Linked DNA regions of Saccharomyces cerevisiae S288C. The main gene of each other region encodes a partner of the protein of the gene in region 4 in a complex. Each region holds a gene or a part of one and is shown on either strand. Other genes may lie near its edges.

Evidence for each region.
Region 1: MNP1 (region 4) and MRPL35 share a complex: the UniProt entries of both Saccharomyces cerevisiae proteins name them as parts of the mitochondrial large ribosomal subunit.
Region 2: MNP1 (region 4) and YML6 share a complex: the UniProt entries of both Saccharomyces cerevisiae proteins name them as parts of the mitochondrial large ribosomal subunit.
Region 3: MNP1 (region 4) and MRPL4 share a complex: the UniProt entries of both Saccharomyces cerevisiae proteins name them as parts of the mitochondrial large ribosomal subunit.

Annotation. Positions count from the first base shown.
Region 1 is NC_001136.10:1,107,741-1,113,609, forward strand, and holds MRPL35 (mitochondrial 54S ribosomal protein mL38 MRPL35), read left to right. Parts: upstream 1-2,848; coding exon 2,849-3,952; downstream 3,953-5,869. Other genes in the region: auxilin-like protein SWA2, read right to left, coding at 1-361; DAD4 (Dad4p), read right to left, coding at 540-758; asparaginase ASP1, read left to right, coding at 962-2,107; TIM11 (F1F0 ATP synthase subunit e), read right to left, coding at 4,263-4,553; PEP7 (phosphatidylinositol-3-phosphate binding protein), read right to left, coding at 4,740-5,869. UniProt on the Saccharomyces cerevisiae protein: Component of the mitochondrial ribosome (mitoribosome), a dedicated translation machinery responsible for the synthesis of mitochondrial genome-encoded proteins, including at least some of the essential transmembrane subunits of the mitochondrial respiratory chain.
Region 2 is NC_001145.3:221,638-227,209, reverse strand, and holds YML6 (mitochondrial 54S ribosomal protein uL4m YML6), read left to right. Parts: upstream 1-1,844; coding exon 1,845-1,871; intron 1,872-1,970; coding exon 1,971-2,804; downstream 2,805-5,572. Other genes in the region: Smc5-Smc6 complex subunit NSE5, read left to right, coding at 1-216; 40S ribosomal protein eS17 RPS17A, read right to left, coding at 513-920, 1,319-1,321; 40S ribosomal protein uS13 RPS18B, read left to right, coding at 3,382-3,428, 3,830-4,223; YOX1 (Yox1p), read right to left, coding at 4,647-5,572. UniProt on the Saccharomyces cerevisiae protein: Component of the mitochondrial ribosome (mitoribosome), a dedicated translation machinery responsible for the synthesis of mitochondrial genome-encoded proteins, including at least some of the essential transmembrane subunits of the mitochondrial respiratory chain.
Region 3 is NC_001144.5:1,010,357-1,015,950, forward strand, and holds MRPL4 (mitochondrial 54S ribosomal protein uL29m MRPL4), read left to right. Parts: upstream 1-4,134; coding exon 4,135-5,094; downstream 5,095-5,594. Other genes in the region: ECM30 (Ecm30p), read right to left, coding at 1-889; DIF1 (Dif1p), read right to left, coding at 1,266-1,667; CAR2 (ornithine-oxo-acid transaminase), read left to right, coding at 2,145-3,419; U4/U6-U5 snRNP complex subunit LSM3, read right to left, coding at 3,553-3,822; SEC39 (Sec39p), read right to left, coding at 5,212-5,594. UniProt on the Saccharomyces cerevisiae protein: Component of the mitochondrial ribosome (mitoribosome), a dedicated translation machinery responsible for the synthesis of mitochondrial genome-encoded proteins, including at least some of the essential transmembrane subunits of the mitochondrial respiratory chain.
Region 4 is NC_001139.9:372,657-377,563, forward strand, and holds MNP1 (mitochondrial 54S ribosomal protein bL12m MNP1), read left to right. Parts: upstream 1-2,430; coding exon 2,431-3,015; downstream 3,016-4,907. Other genes in the region: DNA-binding transcription factor AFT1, read left to right, coding at 1-1,428; DNA-directed RNA polymerase II core subunit RPB9, read right to left, coding at 1,803-2,171; NPY1 (NAD(+) diphosphatase), read left to right, coding at 3,445-4,599. UniProt on the Saccharomyces cerevisiae protein: Component of the mitochondrial ribosome (mitoribosome), a dedicated translation machinery responsible for the synthesis of mitochondrial genome-encoded proteins, including at least some of the essential transmembrane subunits of the mitochondrial respiratory chain.

The DNA.
Region 1 (5,869 bases), on a different chromosome or scaffold from region 4:
CATCCGGTTTTTGGATCGTATCCGTTGTAGTTACTGTGCCCATACCAAATAGTTGATTGAAGTCGTCATCGGTATTGGCAAGAGCCGAGGGAGGTGTGTTGTTGGCAGTATTAGATTTAGTGGTGCTATTAGTTGGGACCAAAGGAGGTGCAGAAAAATCTACCTTCGGTGACGGTATCAGCGGAGGAGCTGAAATTGAATGCAGACTATCATTGGGGCTTTTATCCGTCCTTGCAACATCTGCAACAGCGGAACCAGTAATGGAAGGCGAATTGCTGCTCTGAGGAGTTGTTTCCTTGGATGCAGATGCAGAGTCCTTATTCTTCAAAGAAGTCAGTAAATGTGCAAATGGATCTGACATTGATGTTGACTGTTTCTTGCAGGCTGCGTCCTTTCCAGAAGCACAGGAATAGGTTAAGCGATGTGCTGTTATTTTTTTCTCCTTTTCGCAGGAAACAGTGATCTTAAATGAATATATTAGAAACGGTATAGCATATATATATGTGTATATGAGTATGCGTATATAGAAAATTGGTGAATTAAAGAGGTGGCTTCTTGTTATTGGTCGCTTCCAGGTTGAATTGGACGCTACTATGGTAGTTATCACAAATTGCGCCCATGATTTCTAGATTTTTGTTCCGATTATTAATGGTCACAAGCTCCTGGTTAAGAATTGCCACGCTCTCATTGAGCCTTTTGACATTACCAATTATTCGCGAAAGTATGTTAGCCTGCACTTGTTCATGAGGGTTCTCCATGTTATGCTTTCTTTCCTAAACTCACTTCTTTTCCTCCCTATCTGCTTTTGTTTATTACAGTTGAAGGCTACTTGTGCCGTTCGTGTGAAAAAATACTCGATGAAAAAAAAAAAAAAAAGATGATGACGATGACTTTGTTGAAGAAATGTGTTTGAAGACAGTGGAGGATAACAGCACTCTCATCGCACTTTTGGAAGCGTATCATGAAAAGCGATTCAGTTGAAATCACTACCATCTGCCCAGATGTTGAAAATTCTCAGTTTGTTGTGCAAAGCAACTGTCCAGAGACTATTCCAGAGATTCTAAAGTCTCAAAATGCCGCTGTGAATGGCAGCGGCATCGCTTGCCAACAACGTAGCTTACCAAGAATCAAAATCTTGGGTACCGGTGGTACTATTGCATCGAAAGCTATAGACTCCTCTCAAACTGCCGGCTATCATGTTGACCTGACCATCCAAGATCTATTGGATGCCATTCCAGATATATCCAAGGTCTGTGACATTGAATATGAGCAACTATGCAACGTGGATTCTAAAGACATAAACGAGGATATTCTTTATAAAATTTATAAGGGCGTCTCAGAATCGTTGCAGGCTTTTGACGGTATAGTTATTACCCATGGGACTGATACGCTATCTGAAACTGCATTCTTTATTGAAAGTACTATTGATGCTGGCGACGTTCCTATTGTTTTTGTTGGTTCGATGCGTCCTTCAACCAGCGTTTCTGCTGATGGCCCTATGAACCTTTACCAAGCAATTTGCATTGCTTCAAATCCAAAATCTAGAGGAAGAGGTGTTCTTGTTTCCTTGAATGACCAAATTTCCTCTGGTTACTACATTACTAAGACGAATGCAAATAGTTTGGATTCTTTTAATGTTAGACAAGGCTATTTAGGAAATTTTGTCAACAATGAAATTCACTACTATTATCCTCCTGTGAAACCGCAAGGTTGCCACAAATTCAAACTGAGAGTGGACGGTAAGCATTTTAAATTACCAGAGGTTTGCATTTTATATGCTCACCAAGCCTTTCCGCCAGCTATAGTCAACTTAGTGGCAGATAAGTATGATGGTATTGTTCTTGCTACCATGGGTGCTGGTTCATTGCCGGAGGAGGTCAATGAAACCTGCATGAAATTGAGTTTGCCGATCGTATATTCCAAGAGATCGATGGATGGTATGGTGCCTATTGCCAACGTACCAAAGAAAGGTTCAAAGGAGGATAATCTCATCGCATCTGGTTATCTAAGCCCTGAAAAGAGCAGAATCTTGTTACAATTATGTTTGGCAGGTAACTACACGTTGGAAGAAATTAAACATGTTTTCACTGGCGTCTATGGTGGGTGAAAATTTTGTAATTTTTTGCATTTGTGTCGATATATATATATATATACATAGACACAGAGATAGAGATATAATTATGCAAGTCCCTGTTAATGCTAGTCTGAGATGAGTACAGGAATTCTTCATTTAGATTGTCTCGGCTATGTCACTTTTCTATCGTTTCACCTGCACATGGCTTTGTCTTGAATACTGAAGCCGTTATTATAGTTCTATCTTCATGTTTTTAGAGGTTTTTTTTAAATGAGTTTATTAAAATTAAATTTTGAATGTTATTTTTGAATAAAAATATAAAAAAAATAATATTAATAATTTTTCATTAACTGCTCATGATATCAGTGCATTAGAAAATCTTTTGGTTCCACTTTTCCTATAAAAATAATTCAAGTTTTATCATTATATCATTTTTAAATATTTGATTATCATCGCCCGCTGGTCACCGCATTTTTAAAGAATAAATATTACTTTTTTCGAAATCTGGTGTTTAAATATTTTTAAGAAAGTTAAAAAATAAGGAATATTTGATAAACAAAAAAAAATTAGCCTTTATATATCCATTTTTGTTTATGTATTCCTTTTTTTATTTTCTTATGTGTTTGGGATTTACTGTCGCAGTCTTTTCAAATTTTCCGGGCTAAACCGGAAGCCGGAAGGTCTGGGATAAGACAACAGTATCCAATACAATATCAGACTACAGCAAAAAGCTTATTCAGAGATCTTTACAGAAATCAAGGTCACTGCCGAACTATGTTACGAAGATCTATTCATACCACTAAAATCCTCCAAAAACCTAATGCTACTTCGCATATTTGGTCGGACTTTACCACAAGGCCTAGTTCACTTTCTATCCAATCTTCAAAAGTGAAAAATTACCTTTTCCAGAAGAAAGCTTCTCTAGACCCACCATCTATCAGCAGAAGAAGTAACCGTATCAAATATTCACCTCCAGAACACATTGATGAGATTTTCAGGATGAGTTATGATTTTCTTGAGCAAAGATCCAGTAAGTTTTATGAGTTGGCCAATAAGACTAAAAATCCCTTGAAGAAGGATGCACTTCTCATAAAAGCAGAGATCAATAATCCTGAGGTACAATACAATTTTCAGTTTAATAACAAGTTGAACAATGTTAAGGATATAATAGATTATGATGTGCCAGTGTACAGACATTTGGGGAAACAACATTGGGAATCGTACGGCCAGATGTTATTGATGCAAAGGTTAGAAACGTTGGCTGCCATTCCTGATACTCTTCCAACTCTGGTTCCACGGGCAGAAGTGAATATCAAATTTCCCTTCTCTACTGGTGTAAATAAGTGGATCGAACCTGGTGAATTTCTATCGTCCAATGTCACATCCATGCGTCCCATTTTCAAAATTCAAGAATATGAACTTGTGAACGTTGAAAAACAATTGTATACGGTACTGATAGTCAATCCTGATGTTCCAGATTTGAGTAATGACTCATTTAAAACGGCTTTGTGTTACGGATTGGTGAATATTAATTTGACTTATAATGACAATTTAATAGATCCAAGAAAGTTCCACAGTTCTAATATTATCGCTGACTACTTACCTCCGGTACCTGAAAAGAATGCTGGAAAACAGAGATTCGTTGTTTGGGTATTCAGACAACCCTTAATCGAGGATAAGCAAGGTCCTAACATGTTAGAGATTGACCGAAAGGAACTAAGTAGAGATGATTTTGATATCAGGCAATTTACGAAGAAATACAATCTAACCGCTATTGGGGCACATATCTGGAGAAGCGAATGGGATGCCAAAGTCGCCGCCGTCAGAGAAAAATATGGCCTACCACCTGGAAGGGTTTTTAGCAGAGTTAGAAGGTGATCCTAAATAGTATGACATTATAGTATCCTGTACATATAAAATAACGTGTCATTGTTAATAAAGCTTGATGCAAATAATATAAAGTAAGAATCTGAAAAATTTTTGGAATGTGAATTTTGTTTACAATACGATACGTATGATATTAGTATGTTCTAGAATATATACATTTCATTTTTTTCCTTATTGTTTGTGCACTAACGAATGAAGAAAAAAATATGGAACATCTAGCGAACGAGAATCCATCATAACTTCGTCATTCAGTGCGAGCTAATGTGCATTTTTAGTATCCTATTTATGTTGAAGCTTCTATTTATGTTGAAGCTTCCTTCAGGGATTCAACGGCGTTAAGAATAACTCTTTCAAAATCTATATTAGGATCTTCCAAATTAAATGAGGCGTTCGCAGGCACATCTTTAGGAGTTACTACAGGGTGTAGCTTGGCGTATTCCTTCTTTGCCTCCTCTACCAGCTTCAATTTCTCCTCGTACTGTGCCTGCTCCTCTTTCTTCTTAGCATTACACTTCAAAATCATATCATTTCTAAAACCAAAAAATAGCCCCAAACCCAACGCAGAGTATCTCAAAACATTAACTGTCGACATCCTTTAACTCACTCAGCTAGTTCCTATATACGTTATGTTCCGATATAATACTTCCTTTTATCTAAAATTTCTGTGTGAAAAGTCAAAAAAACTAAAGAAAAATTTATACCCTTAAATAGATCTGATTGGCTCCGCGGACCAATTAGCGTGGAGATTCCGCGAATGATCGAATAATAAAGATATGTCTTAATTAAACCCATGGTCACCCAGCTTCGATTGAACGGTATGTATTCTTGAGTGCAATTCTTCTAAGTTCTTATTAAGTGTGACGATCTCCTCCAATCTACGCTGCTTCTTATAGTCCTGAATTGTGGACTCAATAAGGTAGCTTTGTTCCTTTAGGACCATCAATTCTTCTCTCAGCTCTTTCACTTCTTTTATGGTCAAGTTTTCGATCATTAGTTGCGATAATTTCTTTACCTCTGGTTCAGCTTTTTGCCCATCTTCATTCGTTTTATGGCCCTCTGGGTTCAAAATTGCCGGAAGCGACTTCAACGGTAGGATTTTTTCGTTTATGTATGCAGCGGAAGCTATCTTGATCGAATTTTGAAGTTGTCTCTCTAGATGACTTTGAGGTTCTACACTTAAGAGCTGTCTTGTTAGTGTATTATACAAGTTAAAAGAATTGAGTAATTTATGTCTTAATCGAGCGAGATCATTCAGATTCTTTGGATCAAGTGTATTTTCAGAATCCTTGGCAGTCTCCACCTTCAGGCTATTCAATGAGTCTTCAAAAATGGGCAGGAGACTATCAATTACTTTGGATATATTTTGCATGCTATCATATTTAGCAAATATTCCACTTAGCGGCATTCTAACGTCCTTGTTAAATTTCCTGCCAATAAATAGCATATCGATACAGTGCGAGCACAATCTTATGGATATAGGAATATGAAGTAAATCATCCTTCTGTATATTGTATTCGAATGGCAGATCTGACGCTGCAGACATTAAATAACCTATGCTTATTTCGTTTGAGCAGTTCCTGTTTGCATCATCACAAACAACCATACCACATAATCTGCAGTGATGCTTCCTTAGTAATAGCCCAAATGGTTCGGAACATATGTTACAAAAGAGTACACTTCTATCATCTCTCCATGGAGTAACTGTACGTTCTAACTTGGACATTTCACTATTCATCTTCAAATTATGAATAATGGATCTAGAATATGTGTTATAGAGTGTAATCAGACCATCAACTAGACGGACAAACCGATTTTCTAATTGTAATAGCCTTAAGTTTTTGTCCTCTCTTTTTATATTTCGTACCTTAAAGAATTCTGGTGTTAAATCTATTACTTCGCCATAATCGT
Region 2 (5,572 bases), on a different chromosome or scaffold from region 4:
CTACTGGTCCTACTACGATATCTTCTGCATTTGATCGGGACCGAAGCGATATTAGACGCTAAGGAACAGTTAGAAATGTTACATGCGATTGAGAAAAATGATTCAGGGAGGCGACAGTGGGCCAAGGCGCTTAACTTAGGAAATGATCCGCCTTTATTGTATCCCATAGTCTCCCAAATGTTTGGCGTTCATGATAAAAGTGTAATTATAGAATAAGTAACTAATTTTTCTATTTTTTCTGGATAAGTATAATGAGTAAGAAAGGAAACAGAGTCAATGTTAAAAAATATAAATAATTCCAAGTCAAAGATGATAGCCCTTTGGTATCAAAGCATAAACATTGCGCGCAATGTATGTATGGCCAAGGAGCTACATAAAACGCTTCGCTCTTAATTAGTAAATATAATAATATTTTTTTATTTAATTATACATTAAAGAATAAACAAAAATTAAAAAAGAAAAGGCAAATATTTTGAATAGTAAATTATTTTAAATAGCTTTCTAATTTAATTTTAAACTCTCTTTCTGTAACGTCTGTCTCTTTGGGCAGAAACGTTGATAACAGATAATGGCAACTTCAAACCCAAAGATTTAACCAAGTCAGAAGTTTGGTTGTCAACGTTCAAAACACCGTTAGAACGAGACAAGTCCAAAGCAGAGACTTCTGGGACGTATTGGTCCTTTCTTTCTCTTTCTTCTTCTTGCAATTTGAAAGAGATACCTCTAACTGGACCCTTTTGGATTCTCTTCATCAAATGGGTGGTGTAACCAGCAATCTTGTTTCTCAATCTCTTGGATTGGATAGTGGCGATTTCATCACAAAGTCTCTTGTTGGTTTGGAAATCCAAAGTCAACTTTGGATAGTAACGTTCAATCAAAGCCTTAGAAGCACGCTTGACGGTCTTGGTTCTAACTCTACCCTATTAAAATGACGAAAAGCAATACAAAATAAAAAGTTTGTAAATGCAATTCAACTTGTTAGTATACTGATATCAAAAACACATTATAATGTGTAGAGGCAGTTCATGGCGCCATATTATCCCTTGTTCAACTATGCAAAAAGAAGATCCACAAGAGACTGAATCTCCGGTGATACTGCTATAGGCATTTTAACTCCCAATTTTTTGGAAAGCCACTGCAACTATAGCCAAAACATGAGTATCATTTCAATCACACCACTTTTTCGGTATCGCAGTTCCATATCGTCTGAAAATATCGTCATATGTTTTCTTTAACTTATTTATTGTATGACTTTATTGCGCATGTCGACTCAATATTACGTGTCCTTAAAAGCCTCCTTTAGTCCATATTAACATACCATTTTGTTATTGCTAGTCTCGAGATCTTGACTTTTCTTAGAATTAAGTCGATTAATGCTTGATTAATACCTAATTTCATACATATTACGCTAATATGCCAGTAAAAGCGATCACGACGATAGCTACAGCATGAAAGATTGGCTTAGGAAGCACCATTCCGTTGCCCACAGCAAGCCGGCTGAGCCCAGGCGCTGTTGCACGTACCCAACAAACCTCGTCTCTGCCATTGGTCTATTGTCCTCCTGGACAGGCCGCCTCCTGTGGCAAAGCAGATTCCCAAACGGGGCCAAAAAATTAAGTAGAACTCCCAGTTTTTTGGAAAATAAAAAATAGAATGTACGGATGTAATGCACGGATGTTAAACCGGAAAAAAGGTTACTGGGTCACCCTGGGATACCAAGAATGAGTCTCAAAAAGTTCGAAATAGAAAAGTATAATACAGAGGTTCCATTAATAATGGGGGAGATACATTCAAAGGACGCCAATGCGAATAATCTTTCGTTCAACTAGGGTGAAATAATAATAATGACGATAAAAAGAAATTTGGTGAAAGTACGTATCAGAGGATCGTCCCTCGCTCTTTTTCCATTTGGTTGTCGATTTTCTGAAGATGAATCCGTATACTAACATTACAACCATTTTATGCAATAGACTTTACAATCTATACGCTACCAAGCTACCACTGCCACCGCACATGCAGAATCCACGTTAAACCCTCTGCCAAACGCAGCCATTCCTCCCAAATACGCCTTAGTTACCGTTCGCTCCTTTCCATCATTAGAACCATTGACATTTGTGCCGGTCCCCACATCAACTGTAGCTGCTCCATTAAGGCGTGATATACTATGGAGAGCCGTAGTTTATGAAAACGATAATAGAAGAGTAGGCGCCTCAAATCCTCCCGGGAGAAGTGAAAACGGGTTTTCCAGACGTAAATTGATGCCCCAAAAGGGTTCTGGTAGGGCAAGAGTCGGGGATGCTAACTCTCCAACAAGACATAATGGTGGTAGGGCATTGGCAAGAACTGCACCAAACGACTATACTACAGAGCTACCATCCAAGGTTTATTCCATGGCTTTCAACAACGCTTTGAGCCACCAATATAAAAGTGGAAAGTTGTTTGTTATTGGTGGTGAAAAGGTCGACTTAATATCTCCCACACCAGAACTCGACTTGAACAGGCTGGATCTTGTGAATACAAACACAGTTGAGGGCAAAGAGATTTTTGAGGGCGAAGTCATCTTCAGAAAATTCTTGGAGGAATTTCAACTTAAAGGTAAGAGATTACTTTTCATTACAGACAAGACTAGGGAAGGGCTGATAAAGAGTTCTGATCCATACAAACAAAAAGTAGATGTTATACAGAAAGAACTTGTTGAGGTAAATGACATACTAAGAGCCCAAGCTGTTTTTATCGAATTGGAAGCTCTTGAATATCTAGCAATGGCCCATCAGAAAGAAATCCTTCACTCCGTGTCTAACTGATTTTCATATGTACACATACAAGTGACCCCTTCTTCTACCCCATCCAGTTATTATTCCATCTACATATTTAAAAAATAATCTGTAAATAATAAGCCCATGAAATATCAATCTCACAATGAAAGAATTGTATAATTCAGAATGATTTGACGTAAAAGCAAGTCTCATTCAAGAAACTGTAAAATCCGTACACACTACTGAATTTTACATCCATACATTTTTTTGAAATTTCATGTTTTTTTGAAAAATTGGAAAAGGGCTAAATTATCCGTCGGGGTGTCCTCCTAGCTCGGCTCAACCTAGGCAAATGCGTTTACTGGGGCCATCCAAGCTCATCCTTCCAGAGATTCGCCTTTCAGAGGCAAAGAACTCGTCTCCGCAGGCCTCTTGTTCCGGGAGGAGGAGAATTCTTGCGCGGAAACTGGTTGATGCCTGGGCTATGGTAATTCTGACACCTTTGCTATCCTAACTGGAAAAGGTCCTTAGTAATAACAATATCAGGTACTTTAACATTGTTAAAGATATACTATTAGTGAAAAACCGATCTTACGAAAAGCCAATAGAGCAGAAAGTGGTAAAGATGTCTTTAGTTGTACAAGAACAAGGTTCCTTCCAACACATTTTACGGTATGTTTTACGAGTACAGTGCAGATATGTTGAGAGAGTTTCACATTACATGGGATAATAGCTTAATATTGCGATTGAAAATATGTGAGTGCACTCCGATGGAATAATAAACGTCACGGGTTACCAAATACGAGGCCGAATTAACTCTACGCTACTATAAAAATTATCACTAGATTTTAAAGTAATACACAGTTTATTGGAAAATACAATATATGACTCAATGCGAATTTAAAAATTTCAGTCAATACAGCTTGACAAATTCATATTTATCGTCCCTCCATGTTCGTACGCCATTCCAAAATGATGCGCCATGTTGAAAATTTCTCGAAGAACCTAGCAGTGGTGTGAAATAAATTACTAACAATAAGATGTACAATTTTTTGTGCGCCCATTACAATCAGTTTGTTGAACACCAATGTCGATGGTAACATTAAAATTGTTTACGCTTTGACCACTATTAAGGGTGTTGGTCGTCGTTACTCCAACTTGGTCTGTAAGAAGGCTGATGTTGATTTGCACAAGAGAGCTGGTGAATTGACCCAAGAAGAATTGGAAAGAATTGTCCAAATCATGCAAAACCCAACTCATTACAAGATCCCAGCCTGGTTCTTAAACCGTCAAAACGACATTACTGATGGTAAGGACTACCACACTTTGGCTAACAACGTCGAATCCAAGTTGAGAGATGACTTGGAAAGATTAAAGAAGATCAGAGCCCACCGTGGTATTAGACACTTCTGGGGTTTACGTGTTAGAGGTCAACACACCAAGACCACTGGTAGAAGAAGAGCTTAAATCAATTAAGGAAATTATCAGTAATAATTGTACGCTATTTTCGTTTTTATTATCTTTATTTTCTTTTTTTATTCTTCAAAGGAGAAAGTACTACACGTGTTTTCAGACCAATGTGTGTTTAATCAACTTTTTATTCTATGTATAACATATAAGCAAAAAAAGATATAATATAATTAAGTTTTATACGGTAAACATCGTTAACATCACTCAACCGGGGTGAGAAAGTACCATCGATGGAACTGCACTTTATTTTGACTACATGTAAAGTTAAAAGAGGTGTTATAGAAGTCTTTTAAAAAACGTAAGGTAATTAGAAAACAATTGTATATTTTATGATATATGCTAGGACTGAAGTGAACAATGATATGTATGAATGCCGTATAGGGAAATGAATTTGCGAATAAATAATGACTAGAGATTAGATCAACCACGGAAAGCGTTCGGATCAAGATCCTTCAACGGTTGTTGATCGACGATCTTGAATCCGAATTTTCTCTTCCTTTTAGGGGAGCCGGAGGGATTGCTTACCGGACGCTTGGCTTTGGATGGAGAATGATCTATGCTATTGATCAATTTATTTACTCTGCTGTTGGGAGACGTTTTCACGGGAGTCAACGTCTTCTTTTGTGGGTTTAGATGGAATGTTAAAGCCTGGCTTCTCTTTATGCTTGGTGTGGATGAGCGCCTATTTAGGGAATGATGAGGCCTTGGCGGCGTATTTTCCAGCGGTGAAGAAGAGGAAGAACGAGAACATGAGCTTCCATCACGAAGTATGTCCGCCTTGACTCTGGATGCTAGTGGCGTAGCATGAACGTCCAGAGGCGGAGATGGTGGAGATACCGTTTGTATTATAGTGGTTGACTTCGAAGTGGCGATTCTCTGCCTTTTAACCGCTTGTCTTTTATTCTGGAACCATATTTGAACGGCTTTTTCAGTCATATGGCAAGATTCAGCTAACTCAATTCGTTTCTCCTTCGATGGAGCAGGACATTTTTCAAATTCAGCCTGAAGAATAGATAGTTCCTGGGACGAGGTTCTTCTTCTCTTTCGGCGTGCTAGTGGAGCGTTGTCGATCTTAGGCTCCTTCTTAGGGAAGGTCTCCTGCGAGTGTGTGATGAAAGCAAATGCACGTCTTTTTTCCTTAGAGGCAGAGGGGATAATAATCGACTTCGCTGCAGAGAGTGGTGTTAATATGTCGTTTTTCTTTGAAGAAACCGAATAATCTCTCTTTTTGCTATTTAGGGGAGTCAGTAGAAGGTTTTCGTGTGATTCATCAACTGTTTCTTGAGAACTATTCAACTGAGATGAGAGGGCTGAGTCTGATTGCGTGTGCTTGAGCATGTCATCAC
Region 3 (5,594 bases), on a different chromosome or scaffold from region 4:
TGCAATTTAATAGCGAGGAAGTGAATTGAATGCTTTTGTCCTTAGGCATTTGAGTACACCAGTAGACAAGAAACATGTTTATGTCCTGTTTACCGCCGCTCGTGTACAAGTCCGAAGAAAATAAAGCTGCCAAAAGACGTAAAAGAAGCAGTCTATTGGCAAAAAGATGCCACTGATGATGCATATTCAGTAGTGAGCGGTACTTGTTGGAATTAGTCAAGATGCCGATTTCCCACAATTCGCTTGGGTGGGCGGTCACGGCAGTTGTGAAATTATCTTGGAAAGCCAGTTTCAAGATCGCCAACAGTAGTCTTTCTCCCAGTGGGATGTTTTGCAAGGGAAGACCCTCAATTTCATGTTGCGTGGCCCAAAAGACATCGTAATGGTCCTGCGTGCTAGACTTGACCCGGTCAAAATAAATAGGTATGAGGATGGAAAGGGTCTTTATGGCGTTGATAAGCCGCGAAGAATGAAGTCCCGTACGGGAAGCGGGCAAGGAGTTCGCGGAAAGAATAATGTAGAGCGAAAGGAAGACAATCAAGTTGTTGAAGTTGGGTGGGTTCAAACTAGAGATAATGTGCAGGATTTTTTTAAAACTAGAGTTAATGCTGAAGTCCTGCACGTCCACTGATATGAAGTCCAAGTAAAAATCGTTGAAGACGGTATCTAGCGGGACATTTGGTTTGTCGCTGAACAACGCTTCAACGTCAGGCCCAGAATCCAGCTTAAAAATTGACAGGTTTAAACTCAACGGATCAGCATCAACTGAAAGGGAGGGCGAGGGCGACGACGTACGTGAAGGGGAGGACGCATCTGCGTCCTCCGGTCGAACCAGAGCGATGCAGTGGTTCAGCAGGATCGAACTGGATTTGGAGTCAGTATTTCCCATTATGCATAGCCTAAGGGAGAATTTTTATGGTTTGATTTGTGTGTATTTCTTTCTCTATTAGCTTTTTCTCTGATTTGTTTGCTTATCTACCTGTACGTGTATGTTGTGTACTCAATAAATAGAGGTCTTTTTTTTTTTTTTTCTCCATAGGTTTACCCGAAAGAAAAAACACCGAAATTAAGCACGTAAACCGGCGGAAAAGCAAGGAAAAACCCCCTGAAGCCAAAGCAACTGCGATAGTTTTTATTATTTGTTATATCCTCTATAAAAAATGTGCGAACAAGAGAAAAGACTATATAAAGAATCTATAAAAGAGAAAGTAAAGTAGGAAAAAGAGAGAAAAAAAGAGAGAGATAAAAAAAATTGTGCAAGTCTGTTAAAGTCTTCTCTTGGATCCATTAACCATTGTTTCGTGCTCCGCGGCAGGTTCCGCGACGTCCCATTTCTCGAGCGAGGACGCCTCGGTCGACATTGTTCTCTGGTTTATCAGCATAGGTGGTAGCGAGTTAGCAGTGGGCAAGGGCGACCTTGTAAATTGCGGAACAATAACGCTCGAGTAATCTCTAATGACACCCGGCTGTAGTGAAGCGTCCGAGGTGCTCGGCGTCCTCGATGCATAACCCTGGTCGACCCGCTGTCTGATTCGCATACCCACAGTCATCAACTGGTCCTTGTGGAAATCCTGTTGCTGCTGCTGCTGCTGCTCCTGTTGTTGTTGTTGTTGTTGAAGCTGTCTCTTTGGGACGAGGCTGCTTGCCCATTCCAGTTGTGCGTCCATTAAGTCTTGTTTGTTCCTGTATTAGTGTGTGATGTAAAGCGTGCGTTTCTTGATCTGGGTTCTCTTGCTGTTTCTTTTTCTTTGTTTTCTTCTCCAATCCTTGCCTGTTGCTACTAGATAAATAAATACCCCACTGGCGGGAAAAAGAAAAAGCACACACACAAACAAACGAGAAGAAAAAAGCGCGTGGTACGAGCCGCGCTAATGAGGAATAGAACCCATGCACCACACGCAAATGTGCGCACGGACAAATTCTGCCCTCTGTTAACGGCAGGACCTGGCGTCCCCTGCCGTTAGCGGCGCTAGCCGACGCCGTAGTCGCGTGCCCTTGCCCTTAGCGGCTGACTGGCTGACTCGATTGCATATATAAATTGCGGCCACCATACGTTGAGTCTTGTTGTTATATGGCGGTTGTTCGTATTACAGCAAAGGATACTACACCACAAGACACCACAGCAGCACAGAACCACAACACCAATGTCCGAAGCTACCCTCTCCTCCAAGCAAACCATTGAATGGGAAAACAAATACTCCGCCCACAACTACCACCCCTTGCCCGTCGTTTTTCACAAGGCTAAGGGCGCACATGTGTGGGACCCGGAGGGTAAGCTGTACCTCGACTTCCTGAGCGCTTATTCTGCCGTCAACCAGGGCCATTGCCATCCTCACATCATCAAGGCTTTGACGGAGCAAGCACAAACACTAACATTGTCCTCCAGAGCGTTCCACAACGATGTTTACGCGCAATTCGCCAAGTTCGTGACCGAATTCTTCGGGTTCGAAACCGTTTTGCCCATGAACACCGGTGCAGAAGCCGTGGAAACTGCTTTGAAGTTGGCCAGAAGATGGGGGTACATGAAGAAGAACATCCCTCAAGATAAAGCCATCATTCTGGGTGCCGAGGGTAACTTCCACGGGAGAACCTTCGGTGCTATCAGTTTGAGTACCGACTACGAGGACTCCAAGTTGCATTTCGGGCCTTTCGTGCCTAACGTTGCCAGTGGTCACTCCGTGCACAAGATCAGATACGGCCACGCAGAAGATTTCGTCCCTATCTTGGAATCTCCTGAAGGTAAGAACGTTGCCGCCATCATTCTAGAGCCAATTCAGGGTGAAGCCGGTATCGTCGTGCCCCCCGCAGACTACTTCCCAAAGGTCTCCGCATTATGCCGTAAGCACAACGTCCTATTGATCGTTGACGAAATTCAAACCGGTATCGGTAGAACCGGTGAGTTGCTTTGCTACGACCACTACAAGGCAGAGGCCAAGCCTGATATTGTTTTGTTAGGTAAGGCTCTCTCAGGTGGTGTTCTTCCCGTCTCATGTGTTCTGTCTTCTCACGACATCATGTCTTGCTTTACCCCAGGATCTCACGGTTCTACTTTCGGCGGTAATCCTTTGGCTTCCCGCGTTGCCATCGCCGCCCTCGAGGTCATCCGCGACGAGAAGCTGTGCCAAAGAGCCGCCCAACTGGGTAGCTCTTTCATCGCCCAATTGAAAGCTCTCCAAGCCAAATCTAACGGTATAATCTCTGAGGTGCGTGGTATGGGACTGCTTACCGCCATCGTAATCGACCCATCCAAGGCCAATGGTAAGACCGCTTGGGACTTGTGTCTATTGATGAAGGATCACGGCCTCTTGGCTAAGCCCACCCACGACCACATCATCAGATTGGCTCCTCCTTTGGTCATCTCCGAAGAGGACTTGCAAACCGGTGTCGAAACCATTGCCAAGTGTATCGATCTGTTATAATATTAATACGCATTTTTTTTATGTTTTCTCGTTTCTTTTCTTTTTTTTGTTTTATATCTTACACATTTTTAATATACTAAAAGTAAAATAAAAAAATACGTACTGTTTCCCTTTGTTTTCTCCTCCTCTTTGCTTATATCTCCACTGCGCCATCGTCATCTTCAGAGGGCGTGCTGATTAGAGTCACTGTGTCTCCTCTGATGAACACCATTTCACATCGTCTTTCGGACTCACTCAACTCCTCGTTGTTTAATTGGTATATGGTCTCTACTGCATCACTCAGCACGATGTTGCAGTGTGAGTCGAACGCTTGCAGTGTGCCCACCAGCGTCCTGGCCCCGCGCAGCTTGATGTACACCCTCTCATCGAGATTGAGTTTCAATAAATCCAAAGGTGTCTCCATTTTCTTGAGTGTGCGTGATGTTGTGTGTGTGTGTGTATTTATCTGCGTGTCTCTCCCCTGTTGTATTGGTTGCTAGAATGGATGGAAACATCCTGCCTCTTGTTTGTTCAAACCTCAGCTTTCTTGCTTTTTTTCTTCTTTCAATATCGCGACCTATCACACAGCACGGATAGCCAAAAGGGCGCATCAGGAAGAAGAAAAAATATCATTTCAGCAAACTAAAAGAATTGCCCTGAAAGCTATCGAGCCCTGGTAAGAGAGTACCATTCTATCTCTGCGGCTAGAAAAAAATACCATAAAAATATAATAAAAATGTGGAAGAGATCGTTCCACTCCCAAGGAGGGCCCCTGCGTGCCAGAACAAAGTTTACCAAACCAAAGCCAAAACAACCGGTGCTTCCCAAAGACAAAATAAGACCGCCCACTCAATTGACTCATCACTCCAACAACCTGAGGATTACCGAACCAATCCCACCAACAACCTCAAACCTGCGCTGTCCCGACGACCACCCGCTGTGGCAGTTCTTCTCCAACAAGAAATTCATCAGGTCCGCCGACGACTTGCCGCCTTCCAGCCATATCAGACCCTGGAGCATCCCAGAGTTGAGGCACAAGTCCTTTAACGACTTGCATTCCCTTTGGTACAACTGCCTCAGGGAGCAAAATGTGCTTGCTCGCGAAAACCATCTCTTGAAAAACATTGTTGGCTCCACGCATGACGAATTCAGTGAGCTCTCTAACTCTATCAGAACCACCATGTGGCAAATAAGACATGTACTTAACGAAAGAGAGCTGGCCTATAGCGCTTCACGCGAATTTTTACAGGATGAATCGGAGAGGAAAAAGTTCTTGGATACTTTGGCCAACGATTACTTCTTGAACAAGGATATCCCTGATGACGAAGTCGCCTCCATGCTCACACGATTCCAGTTGGCCATTTTCGGCATATCGGAAACCATCCAGGATAATACAGTCGACATTAACTTCATCGACGGGATCAAGTTCTTGGCAAACTTAAAACTACAGCGGTTCAAGGACTCCAATGACCTCATATCCGAAATATCACAAGAACCGATCACAGACGTGGGCGAGTCGTTCATCTTATTCACTTCCGACTTCGAACCTCATGCCGTTCAAGAGGCTTGTGTCGCCATCAAAGACCTGAGAAAGTCCCCAGATAATAAAGTCCCTAAATTAGACGAACTCCCCACCGTGAGAAAATACTTGAAACAGCTAATTCATGCAAGCTCCGTGGAGCAAGCAACTGCATGATTCCCGTGGGCTTCCTACCCTCTCTCCTGTAAATATATATATATATATATATCCACACACACTCGCACATACATACACACATACATACACCTTTATATAGCTATACGCTGTATGTATTCAGAAATTAGTCACGTTGTGGAAAATCTCCCTAGCAATGCCGCCTACCTTACTCTTATTGTCGTTCTGTCCGTCCAGTGCGTACTTGTCTTTCACCAGGTCACGGGCGCTTAGCTCCAATTCTAGTGTGCTCCATTGCGATGTAACAATTTCGACTTCCTCAAGGGGGCAAACCTCCAGTAAGCGGCCCAAGATGCTCATCTGCAGAACAATTATCTCTGTGGGAATTTCATTATCCACCCAATTTGGATCGACAAACTTCCCCATTTGATAAAATGTTAACCAATGCTCATCGCCCAACGCCTTCATCATATGTTGGCCCGCTTCTTGACAAATTTCAAACACTTGCTTGCCCAATTCGTATGCTGTGCCAAAATCTAAAT
Region 4 (4,907 bases):
CCGTTTAGAGTACGAGCTACTTATTCGTTAAAGAGGAAAAGATGGAGCATTGTTGTAATGGACAATAACCATTCACATCAGCTAAAGTTTAACCCTGATTCCGAAGAGTACAAAAAATTCAAAGAAAAATTAAGAAAGGATAATGACGTAGATGCAATCAAGAAATTCGACGAATTGGAATACAGAACTTTGGCCAATTTGCCCATTCCAACAGCTACAATCCCCTGTGATTGTGGTTTAACAAATGAAATACAAAGTTTCAATGTCGTATTGCCCACTAACAGTAATGTTACTTCATCAGCATCCTCTTCAACTGTATCGTCCATATCCCTTGATTCATCGAATGCATCTAAAAGGCCATGCTTACCCTCTGTAAATAACACCGGTAGTATCAATACCAATAACGTAAGGAAACCGAAAAGCCAGTGTAAGAATAAAGACACACTCTTAAAAAGAACCACCATGCAGAACTTTCTCACAACTAAATCAAGGCTGCGTAAGACCGGTACGCCAACATCTTCGCAACACTCATCTACAGCATTTTCAGGATATATTGATGATCCTTTCAATTTGAATGAAATCTTGCCACTGCCGGCATCCGATTTCAAGCTAAACACTGTAACAAATTTGAACGAAATTGACTTTACGAACATTTTTACCAAATCGCCGCATCCACATAGCGGGTCTACCCATCCAAGACAAGTCTTCGACCAATTGGACGATTGTTCCTCTATACTCTTCTCTCCATTAACTACAAACACGAATAATGAATTTGAAGGAGAGTCAGATGATTTTGTTCATTCTCCATATTTGAACTCAGAGGCAGATTTCAGCCAAATTCTTAGTAGTGCTCCCCCAGTCCATCATGACCCAAATGAAACACATCAGGAAAACCAGGATATTATTGATAGATTTGCTAATAGTTCCCAAGAACATAATGAGTATATTCTACAATATTTGACGCACTCCGATGCTGCTAACCACAATAACATCGGCGTTCCAAACAACAATTCACATTCGCTAAATACTCAGCATAACGTTTCTGATCTGGGCAACTCACTTTTAAGACAAGAAGCTTTAGTTGGCAGCTCTTCAACAAAAATCTTCGACGAATTGAAATTTGTACAAAATGGCCCACACGGTTCTCAACATCCTATAGATTTTCAACATGTTGACCATCGTCATCTCAGCTCTAATGAACCTCAAGTACGATCACATCAATATGGTCCGCAACAGCAGCCACCGCAGCAATTGCAATATCACCAAAATCAGCCCCACGACGGCCATAACCACGAACAGCACCAAACAGTACAAAAGGATATGCAAACGCATGAATCGCTAGAAATAATGGGAAACACATTATTGGAAGAGTTCAAAGACATTAAAATGGTGAACGGCGAGTTGAAGTATGTGAAGCCAGAAGATTAGCATATAGATGAAATCAAACTTAGACGTATCTCTCGTCCATTTTCATTACATTTTCATCTTTCTTCATTAATTATATACTGAACATATACGCATCTATACAATTTTGACTTTTTAAAGAAGAAAAAGAAAACAATAGTATACATTCTTTTTTCTACTTTTGTTACAGATAAAAAATCGTTCTTATTATATTACATATATCGGTGCTAAGATCAGGATTTTTTCATGTTCCTTCCCCCTGTTATTTCACATCATCCTTTTGCCGGTAGATTAGGCTGGTGTAAATAGTAGTGCTTTTCTCATACATACAAGACATACGTGAAGATAAGTCCCATTTTCTCTCCCTCTGTCATTAATTTTGAAAGTTCGTTGAGCACTCATGAAAACTGCGTCCTTTTGTTTTTTTGATCTGAAGTAAATATGTGTGAGCAAGATAAGCACACAAAGAATAAAACCATCGAAGTATCCTTTCTTCTTTGTTGTGATTGAAAAAACACATTTTCCCGAGAGTGACATTTGGGACATTCTCTATCAGATCTCGGAAGAGTGGGATCGGAACCAATATCTTGCACCACTCCCGCAGTTTCACCAATGTTGGTAATCAATTCATGCCTGTAGACCAATGGACTGCCCGCTTCTTCTACATACGAGCATGTTCTGCATTCAAATAACAACCGGTTATTTTCTTTATCCTCACGAGGGTACAACATATTGTTGCAGTCACGACAAAATCTAAACGTAGTCATAGCAGTTTTAAGGGGAGTTTAACTTGCTCTTTTGGCTAGATTTTGTAACTTTCGTTCTACCTAGAATCTGCTCTTGTTCCATTTGACTTACTCTTTAACGCTATTCACCAAAACAAAATTTTTCAACTTACCCGCCCTATGTCTTGAAGTCCAATAAAACAACTCAAACTAATGGCAAACAAGAACTCGGTAAGTTCTGGAAGGAACAGGACAAGCAGCCCGTCAGCAGCAAACACAGTCAATTAAATAAGCGCCCAGTATGTCCTTACGTATACTAGCGAAGAGATCTTCTTCTATCTGGATGAAAACGCGCGTTACACCAGCGCTAATTTCTCCTATTACTATCACAACCCGTTTCAATTCTACGACTACAACAGCACCATCACATAAGGATGATGTAAGGCCAGTTGATCCTAAAATTTCTAAAATTGTACAGGACATTTCACAATTGACTCTTTTGGAAACTTCCAGTTTAATCAACGAGCTGAAAACCGTATTGAACATTCCAGAAATTTCCATGCCTATGGGCGGATTCATGGCAGGCGCTGCAGGCGCAGGTGCTGGTAATGTACCTAGCTCCACTGGTGAAGCTGGTAGTGGTGCTGAAGAAGAAGCTAAGCCTGAGGCAAAGACCGTGTTTACGGTGAAGTTGGACTCGTTCGACACGAAGACTAAGGCTAAAGTCATCAAGGAAGTCAAGGGATTATTGGGGCTTTCATTAGTTGAAGCTAAGAAATTCGTTGAAGCTGCACCAAAGGTCTTGAAAGAAAATGTCGCCAAGGATGATGCTGAAAAGATTAAGAAAACCTTGGAAGACTTAGGAGCTAAGGTCAGTTTAGAATGATTTTAAAACTGTAGCAATCTACCAATCGTGTTAATCAAAATAGTCTGTTTTCTCTTCGAGAAAATAAGGAATATATCATGTAAATATGTTTAACTCTTTATTCTTCTTTCGTCCTGCCTTTTATATATTTTGCCACATCGCTTCTTGCAAGTAGATGTATAAAAATGATTGATTTCCTTATTATTTTCTATAGTATCTTCAACTTCATTATGGCATTCGTTTTCGTGTTATAAGTATTTCAGACGGGCTAATCTATCACTTCATAAATCTACTTTTCCAACTTACAAAAGCGGTTGCTTTTCTTCGAAATATAAAGCCCACCAACCATAAGAATAAAGAACAAGAGCAGGAGCGAAACGAAAGAGAAGATAAAGATTGTACCTTTTTGCTCCTGATTTTTTTTTGATTACGCTACGGTTAGTTGAGAGAATGTCCACTGCTGTGACTTTTTTTGGCCAGCATGTCTTGAACAGAGTTTCGTTCTTAAGATGTTCGAAAGAGTTCATCAAAAAATCATTGAACCATGACTCTACCGTTTTTATCCCATTTATCGAAGGGGAAGCCCTCATTTCGCCCGAAAATGGTGACCTAGTTCAGCTTTCTAATTCTGTAAAGTCTTACAAGAATATTTTGTCAGCAATAGTTCCTTTATACACTACTTTATTGAACACAACTCGCTCAAGAAGCGATGAATCAGGCATCAATGTAACATTTTTAGGTCTCCTGGAAGGCACAGATTCTGCATTTAATTTTGAATGGTCTAATATTTCTTACAAAGGAACACCATATTTTGGATTAGATATCCGTGTTACTGAGAGCACACTCTTCAAGAAAGTCGACTTTGAGCCTATTTTTTCCTATCCGAAGGTGACCAGAGATCACATTTTCAAACAAACAAATGAGGATGCTTCACTTTATTCACAAGGTAAGATGTATCTGGATTGGCTAGCAAAGTACAAATTCTGTCCCGGTTGTGGGTCTCCGTTATTCCCAGTAGAGGCAGGAACTAAGCTTCAGTGTTCTAATGAAAATCGGAATGTATACTGTAATGTGAGAGATGCAAGAATTAATAACGTTTGCTTCCCAAGAACTGATCCAACGGTCATTATAGCCTTGACCAATTCGGATTACTCTAAGTGTTGTCTGGCAAGATCAAAAAAAAGGTACGGTGATTTTGTATTGTATTCAACAATAGCAGGTTTTATGGAGCCATCAGAAACCATAGAGGAGGCTTGTATCAGAGAAATATGGGAGGAAACAGGCATTTCATGCAAAAATATTGATATAGTCCGGTCACAGCCCTGGCCTTACCCTTGCAGTTTGATGATTGGCTGTTTAGGCATAGTTCAATTCAATTCCAAAAATGAGGTTATCAACCTGAATCATGACGACGAATTATTGGATGCTCAATGGTTTGATACAACTGAAATCATTCAAGCTTTGGATAAGTACGCCGGCGGGTATCGTGTTCCATTCAAAAATGATATCAATTTACCTGGAAGTACTACCATTGCCTTCCAATTAATCAATCATGTTTGCGAGAACTATAAAAACTTACGTAAGACCTCATCGAGCCATCTATAGTTTTTAATATAATAAACATTGATAAATAGGCGTGCTTCAGCATATGGATATTTTTCACTCAGTTACCCGAAGAAAACAGAGGTGCGTCATAATGCAAATGCTAAATGAATGAATATAGGATGTTAGATTGCTGGTACAAGCAATTTTGAAACAAAAATCATTACGAACAGAAGAAAGTGGAGCTGAAGAGCGTATATAGTTGTTCATAGCTGTAAAATAATTTCTAAATTACTATTTAGAACCTTTTTGATATCCAGCATCGCTCATTAGAGATTAATTTACCAAAACGGAATAAACCAAAAAAATAA